Caenorhabditis elegans: one gene and its partner. The protein of the gene in region 1 interacts with the protein of each later gene in a pairwise test. Each region holds a gene or a part of one and is shown on either strand. Other genes may lie near its edges.

Region 1 (3,683 bases):
CTTATTGCGAAAAGAGAACCACGATCTAAAATTATGTTATCTGTAAGTATTATTGTTGTTTTTTGTATATCTGAATGATTTTCAGCCGAAATCGAAAGAAAATGAAGTGAGCAGATTGATTTCTGATTTGAATCTGATTGAGAATCAAATCGATGAACTTTTTAATTCAAGTTTGCCAATAAATTATGGAGATTGGAGAACACTTTCAGAAATAATTCAGATGAAGCCATACTTAAAAGTTTCAAAAATTCCAAATTTGAAATTGATACGAAATCAGTAAGAAATCCACTTTACTTCATTTTTAAATCTTATTTTTAGAATGAATGCTGAACTAGCTGGATATGCACATAACGGTAGTCTTGCTATGGTTGAATATGCAAAAATGCTCGATTTCTTTCCAAAAATATCAAAAGAGACTGCCATAAAATTGGTTAAGCATGGATTATTCATGTGTGGATCACTATCGTTCAGTCGTAGATCAATTCAAAAGTACAACTCCGATATCTTACGTTTTACTGATGGCTCTGTGGCAGGAAAACCAAAAACTAATTGGAATGGAGTAATGTTGGATCATAGAAGAATAGCCCAGAAAACATTACATTCAATTCTTCGTGTGAAATTGGATTATGTAGAGTATTTATTTCTCAAAGCGATTACGATGTGTAATCCAGGTGGGTAAAATATTTCTTGAGCTCAATTACTAGAGTCAAATTTAAGCTGTCTCCGATTTTCCTGCTGAAGATCAGAAAATAATCGATAAACACAGATTTAATTATGCACAAAGCCTTCTCAATTATTGTTTGAAACAACATGGACAGATTCACGGTGCTGATCGATTTGCATCAATACTATCAATTATGTCAATTATGGAAGTGCAGCAAAAAGAAGAGAAAAGTTGTTTTTTCGTTTTCCGTTCAATTTATTCTGAATTTGATGTTTTTGTCAGTCCTTTATTCGATGAAATTTCTAATTATTAAAATAATTTTTCTATTAAATTGTTTTTGTTGAACTTTCATTTTTATACCAAATGCAACTTGTGTTTAGTTGTACATTTATTGAATATTTGTTCGTTGGCTTTTGAAGGACATTAAATAGAAAATAAAAGCTTGTGATTAAATCACTGAGAAAGGAGTAGTTGCATGTACTGTGTGTCCTCTTGTCTCTCCGATTTTTTGTCCTTTGAAAACATGTTAGACGGATCCTTAAAAGTTTGTTTTTTTGGCAATTGGCTATTTCAGACAACAATTGAGCTCATAACTAAGCCGAATTCAACCGAAAAATAAACTGATTGTGCCCAAATGAAACATTTCCCGCCATTCAGCGTCGATTGTTGATAAAATATATTAGGAAGAAAGTTAGAGACATATATTTTAGTATAATAGTATAAATAAAGATACACTGTCAAAAAGATATTCACTGATTGGAATTGAAATTCTTGGAAAGCATCAATATAGTGTAGTGGAAACAAACACGAGTCAGAAGTACACAAAAGTTGAAAGTATTTCACCGTCATCTTTTCCTTTGTACCTTTTCACCCTCTCACTCTCTCTCCCTTACTTTATGATCTTTGTTGGACGGACGATAATCGGGAAACAGGCAATCTAACGTAATACTATTATACTTTAACTATGGACAAAGATCTAGCTGATATTCTTCCGGATATTGAGGTTAATTATTTGGTTTCTCTGTTTTTTACATTTGTTGAACATTTAGCAAATTATTACAGATAGACCAAAGAAGCCAAGAATCATCATCTTACTCAATTCTAACTTCTACATCGATCAAGTGTCCTAGACATAATCTACCTTCAAAATGTGAAATATGTGGAAATCCAGCAATCGGATATCACTACGATGTTTGTGTTCCAATTTTTCCTAAAGCCTAAAACTTTAGTATGTTTTCAGATCGCATCATGCAATGGATGTAAGGCATTTTTTCGTAGAACTGTTATCACTGGGAGACAAGTTGCATGCAAGAAATGGGGGACATGTTTAGAAGAAGAAATTCCAATAAGTTAGTAATTTACCGTTTTGGCTCACTTGTTGAATACTTTTATAGACCGTAGGATTTGCCCAGGATGTAGATTTTCAAAATGTGTCAAAGTTGGAATGAATCCAAGAGCAATTAGAGCTGAAATCTCATCGAATGGAGAGATACTGAAAAATCAGCTTCTGAAAAATCGAGAAGCTGATAAGTTGGTCATGTTATCTGTAAAAATATGAGTATTGATAAACGAACACCAAAAGTTTTCCAGCCAAAAACAGCGGAAGATGATCTGAGTATATCTATTTCTAAGCTAAGTTTAATAGAAAATAAAATTGACGATCTTTTCAATTCAAAATGGCCATCAAATTATTGTGATTGGCGTACTGTAACGGAAATCCTCAAAGCTCATCCAATTCTTGAAATGTCGAAAATTCCGAACTTGTCTTTTCAACCAAACCAGTGAGTTTTCTTACCTAATTGTTATTGAAATTTTTTTAATCGTTTTAGACTCTTCCCTGATCATGCTGGATTTGCTCATAACGCAAGCCTAGCTGCCTTGGAGTTTACAAAAATGCTTGATATATTTCCAAAATTATCAATTGATACTGTTCAAAAACTTGTCAGACATGGATTATTTATGTGTGGATCAATGATGACGAGCAGAAGATCTATTCAAAAGTTCAATTCAGATACATTACGACGTACAGATGGAACAATTTCTGGAAAACCGGCAAAAAGTTGGAATGGTGTTTGGGTTGATCATAGAAAAATTGTACAAAGAGTTCTACGAGCGTTTCTTCGTATTAAATTGAATGATGTAGAATACTTATTTCTGAAAGTTATAACTATATTAAATCCAGGCCAGTAACATAACATTCTTTGTTTTGCCAATCATTGTTTTCAGCTGTCTCCGATCTTTTTGCTCAAGATCAAAAAATAATTGAACGAGAACGGAACAGATTTGCTCAATGTCTTCTGACTTATTGCTTGAGGGAATATGCAGAAAATAATGGACCATCTAGATTTGCATCAGTATTATCAATAATTTCATCTATGGAACTACAACAAAAGGAAGAAAAAAGCTTTAACATTCTGCTCCGTGCGTCTTTTCCCGATGCAATTGTCTTGGTTAGCCCTTTGTTTGATGAAATTATGTCAGCATAATCAGTTTTTGTTTAATTTCTTTTATTTGATAAAAATAAATACGAATTCATTGTCTCTTGCATATTACACATGTTGTTTTGCAAATTTGTATTATTACTCCTTTTACTGCCGTAGTTTTATTGACACGGAAAGCTACAAAATTTTGTGACTACCGATGACTCAAATCACACAATTCATGGTTATACCAACGCCCTGACTCTCTAACATTTTGATCCTGTTGGTCTCGTACGTAGAGACGCAGAACGCACAAGAAATTTGAAGCGCCACTTGCAACCACATGGGAAGGGAGTACCATCTTTTTGCATATTTTGTGATTACTAATACATAGTAAATCACGAATGACTAGCGAAGAATCAACTAGCGACTATATTTTACCAGATATCGAAGTAAGTTGTTGGAAACTAAGCACGCAATTTTTTAATCGAAGTTTTCCAGATAACAGATGAGGAAACGAAATGCGACCCCAATACAAAAAATATATTACCGAAACAATGTCGCATATGCCGAAATCCAGCTGTTGGATATCACTATGA
Region 2 (4,852 bases), 6.6 Mb from region 1:
ATTCTGCCAAAAACCGCCAAATTTTCAGTTTTTTTGCCGGTTTTTTCTCCAAAAGTAGTCCCAAAACCCCATTTTCTCGAAAATTTTACATTTTTCTCAAATTTTCTATCAGAAAATTCAATTTTCCCGCCAAACCCCCCTACAAATCCCAATCTCCACACATCATTTACAAAAAAAAACGTGTAAAAAATGTGTGGGAGATCAAAAAATAAAAGATTTGGCGGGTTGGGGGATTAACCCTTCAATTTCCGTTTTTTCTAGTCAACTCGCGCGTGTTCATTTAATCCAAAAATCCACTACAACTTTGTGAATTTCGTTAGATTTTCGTTTATTTTTTTGTTGGTTCGAAATATTGATTTTGTCTCGTCATTTAGTCGTATAATTTTAGTACTCAAGTGTAGTTTGTAGTTTGTAGTGAAACTGCCCATGCTGTCCCATTTCGGTTTGATCTACCCCCCAGATCTACAAGAATTGCGGGAATTTAGACGCAGAGTTCTCAAATGATTTTCAAAAACTTGCAGAAATTTCAAATTTCCTATACAAAAATATCTGAAAAACTGATTTTCCTGTAGAAAAACGTCTGAAAAATCGATTTTTATATGTAAAAAATTTCTGAAATTTCGAATTTCCTATATAAAAATCTCTAAACATTTCACATTTCTTATGTAAAAATGTTTGAAAAAGTGATATTCCAGTAGAAAAATGGCAGAAATTTCAAATTTTCTATGTAAAAATGCATGAAATTTCAAACTGTTATGAAAAAATATCCTAAAAATATGATTTTCCAGTATAAAATGTCCTAAATTTCAAATTTTTTGTATAGAAATCTGAAATATTGAATTTCTCATGTGAAAATATCTGAAAAATTGATTTTCTAGCAGAAAATGCCGGAAATTTTGAATTTTTTAGTACAAAAACGTAAAAAATTTGAACTTCCTATATAAAAAATTCTTGAAGTTTCAGATTTCATGTTTAAAAATGTCTAGAAAATTGATTTTCCTGTAAAAAAAACGTTTGAACTTTCAAATTTTCTATGTAAAAATGTCTAAAATTTCCATTTATTCATTTAAAAGTGGCCGAAATCCTGAATTTCACAGTTCAAAATACCGGAAAAATACATTTTTCAGTCGAAACATGTCTCAAATTTTGAATTTTTTTATATAAAAAATTTCTGAAAAAAGTGATTTTCCAGTAGAAAAATGGCAGAAATTCTGAATTTCCTATGTAAAAATTCCTGAAATTTCGAATTTTCAGTGTAAAAATATTTGAAATTTTGAGTTTCCTGTAAAATAATGTCTCAAAATTTGATTTGTCTATATAAAAAATGCCGTAAATTTCCAATTTCCTATGTAAAAATATCTGAAAAGTTGATTTTTCCTATGTAAAATTGTCTGAAATTCATAGATTTTTTCTATAATTTTTTTTTGGAAAAAACAGTTCAAACTACATATTTAAACTTGAAAACATATCAAAAAATATTTACTTTGAACAATAGTTTTTTCCCGAAAATTCCATGTTTTTTTGCAATATTTGCATATTGTTTTCAAGTTTTCTGTAACTTCGAATGTTGTTTTTCTTTAAACTCCCCATTTTTTCCCAGCAATTTCTGCAAAATTTCCAATCTTTTGACCCCAAAAATCATCAAAACACAGACATTTTTTTTTGTTTACTTTCTCCTTTTCTCTCTCAAAACATAATGTTTTCCGCACTTTTGATGTCTGATTTCTCGATTTTCTGGTTTTTTTATTATAATGTTTTTCCTGAAACTTTATGTTTTGGTTCGCATAAAAATGCTATAAAATGGCGTGATTTTATAGTTTTCCAGAGTTTCCGAGTTTCGGAGCGATGCAGTATATTGTGCTGCTCAGCGTTCTGCTCATCGGAGCAAACGCTCAACTTTCAGCGACAAGAGGTAAGTTTTTCCAACCTAAAAGTGTACCTAAACCCCTTTCAGACCAAGAATGCAAAGAAAACGAGAGCTTCCAGACGTGTGGCACGGCTTGCGAGCCGACTTGCGGGCTTCCGACTCCGGTGAGCAGATTTTGTTGTCAAATTCCGGCTTACAACGTGGTTTTTGCAGACTTTTTGCACACTGCAATGCGTCATGGGATGTCAGTGTAACAGTGGATTCTTCCGCAGAACTTCGGATAATCGTTGTGTTGAGCAGAAGGACTGCAATGTTGCGGCGAATGAGACGATTCCAATTCCACCACCAGGTTAGAAGGGGACACAGACTAAAATTTGGGCCGGGCTACGCAGTCTCGGAATCTGAAATTTTGGGTCCGCTAGTACATCAGAGTTTCCAGACAAGGCCCAATCTCTAAGGCCGCACTGGCCCTACAGACAATGGCCCGGAGTTCGAAACGGGTATCTAGACCCAGAGCTTGGGGGTATCAGCCTCCTGACTTTGTGGGCGCCAAGCCCAGAGTTCAAGGGTCCCAGGCCCAGAGTTCGGGGGTACCTGCCCCAAATTTTGGGGATACCGAAAGACTAAATTTTGGGCCGGGCTGCACACGGAGTCCTGGAATCTGATGTTTTGGAGCGCGGGGTCCGCTTGAAAATCAGATCTTCCTGACAAGGCCCATTCTCTAAGGCATCTCAGGCCCTACAGACACTGGCCCGGAGTTCGAAACGGGTATCTAGACCCAGGTACCAGCCCCCAGAGTTCATGGATCTTAGGCCCAGAGTTCAGGGGTGCCAGGCCCAAAGTTCAGAGGTCCCCAGCCCAGAGTTCAGGGATACCAGCTCCACAGTTCAGGGTCCCCAGCCACAGAGTTCATGGGTTCCAGGCCCAGATTTCGTGGGTACCTGGCCCAGAGCTCGGGGACTGCCGGACCCAGAGTTAAAGAATACCAAGCCTTGAGCTCCACGGTAACAAGCCCAGAGCTCCACGGTACCGAGCCCAGATCGTGGGTACCAGTGCCAGACTTCAAGGGTAACAAGCCCAGAGTTAATGGGTCACAGGCCCAGAGTTCATGGGTACCAAGCTCAGAGCTTGGGGTACCGAGCCCAGATCGTGGGTACCAGCGCCAGACTTCAAGGGTGCCAAGCACAAACCTACCAGGCATCCTAAAGCCTCCAAACCAAGACCCCCGACCCCAAACCCCTCTAACCCCCCACCAATTTCCAGCCACCAACCTCACATGCCCAGTCAACGAGGTATCCAACGAGTGCCACAACCCATGCACCGAGAAGAAGTGCCCACAAAAGAATGCTCCACAGGTGAACTGCTTGATGGCCTGCCAAGTCGGATGCTCCTGCATGGACGGATTCGTCAGAAACAACCAAGGAGTGTGTGTCAAGGAGGCCGAGTGCCCAGCGATTGGTAAGTACTCTAAAAATTGGACGAAAAAATGCACCAGAATTGCGCCACCGCACTGCAACTTTCCAGGCTCTCAAACCTGCGGAACCAACGAGGAGCCCAACCAGTGTCACAACGCGTGCTTCGAGAAAAAGTGTCCGGTTAAGCCCCAGCCACTGGTAAACTGTATGGAGAAATGCGACATCGGATGTTCCTGCAAAAAGGGATTCCTCCGGAACCGCCAGGGACAGTGTGTGAACCCTACCGAGTGTCCGGCTACTGGTGGGTACCGTTTTAAAGGAAACTAGTTAGAGCCAGTGATTCTAGGCTCCACACTGACTTGCTCCAAGAATGAGGAGCCCAATGACTGTCACAATTCGTGCTCCGAGGCAAAATGTCCTGTCAATCCACAGCCATTTGTTAGGTGCATGATGAGGTGCGAAAAAGCATGCTCTTGCAAGAAGGGACTCGTTAGGAACCGGCAGGGACAGTGTGTGAAGCTTGCAGAGTGCCCACCGACTGGTTAGTAGGGCTGAAGCCTAGTTCTAGTGGCTTTAGGGGTCTCGAGTGAATTTTCGGGCAAAAAGTCATGTTAAATAGGCTTCTGGCAAAGTTTTGATGAAAATATCTAAGAAAATTGAGCTGAGCTCAGTTTTAGAGAGTTTTAGCAAGTTTGGTGTCTTGAAACGAATTTTTGCGGCATTTTTGACTCCGCTGTTGATTTTTAGAACAATTTTGCGATTATGAGCAGGTTTGCATCAAAATTGATGTAAATCTAGGCCTTTCAACAAAAGTTTTAGTTTTTGGACCAAAATTTCGGTGCAAAAAACGACTTGACCCCTTTTTTCGACAAATCCGGAGCAATTTTCCTATTTTGGGGCAGTTTTGAGCAGAATTTTTTGATTTTCCCCTACAAATGTGGTTTCCAGGCAAGACTGACACAAACCCATGTGCCTTGGTACTCTGCAAGCCCGGTCACCGATGCACCATGTCAACTGGCCAGGCAACTTGTGTGCCAGGTATCATTTTTTCTGTCCGCGGGCGCTGGTTTGGTGCGGTTCTTTGCTAAAATTCTGAGAATTTGGTGTCCTGAAATGGACTTGGATGGAATTTTGACAAATTTGTGGATTTTCGGAACGATTTTCACATTTTGGGACAGTTTTGGACCAATTTTATGGGGATATTGGCTTTTGACATACTTTTTGGCAGTTTTTTGACGAAAACGTTTTTTTGGCACACATTTTGGTTTAACGTGCGAGTTTCAACAAATCTGCCAACTTTCGGCACATTTTTGAATCAATTTTGAAGGTTTGGGGTTGTTTTTGACGCAAAAATCGGGATTTTAGCTTGTTTTCATGCCAAAATCATGATGCAACGACGTAATGACTTGACGCAATCCTGGTGCATACCCTGCGACTCAAAATATACGAATTTTCCGACTCTAACATATAAATTGTTTCCAGGCAGCACTGACGAGAACCCATGCAACTTGGTGGACTGCCGTACCGGTCACCAATGCTCCATGTCAACTGGCAAGCCGACTTGTGTACC

Evidence for each region.
Region 2: the proteins of nhr-208 (region 1) and Y69H2.3 interact in a two-hybrid assay, tested with the Caenorhabditis elegans proteins (one large-scale study listed by BioGRID).

Annotation. Positions count from the first base shown.
Region 1 is NC_003283.11:12,092,746-12,096,428, forward strand, and holds nhr-208 (Nuclear Hormone Receptor family), read left to right. Parts: upstream 1-1,571; 5' UTR 1,572-1,628; coding exon 1,629-1,667; intron 1,668-1,726; coding exon 1,727-1,855; intron 1,856-1,904; coding exon 1,905-2,013; intron 2,014-2,058; coding exon 2,059-2,210; intron 2,211-2,254; coding exon 2,255-2,445; intron 2,446-2,493; coding exon 2,494-2,846; intron 2,847-2,890; coding exon 2,891-3,150; downstream 3,151-3,683. Other genes in the region: nhr-206 (Nuclear receptor), read left to right, coding at 1-42, 86-276, 319-671, 718-977; nhr-207 (Nuclear receptor), read left to right, coding at 3,489-3,536, 3,586-3,683.
Region 2 is NC_003283.11:18,661,090-18,665,941, reverse strand, and holds the start of Y69H2.3 (Follistatin-like domain-containing protein), read left to right. Parts: upstream 1-1,815; 5' UTR 1,816-1,845; coding exon 1,846-1,912; intron 1,913-1,954; coding exon 1,955-2,031; intron 2,032-2,080; coding exon 2,081-2,216; intron 2,217-3,130; coding exon 3,131-3,325; intron 3,326-3,391; coding exon 3,392-3,583; intron 3,584-3,628; coding exon 3,629-3,823; intron 3,824-4,230; coding exon 4,231-4,320; intron 4,321-4,764; coding exon 4,765-4,852.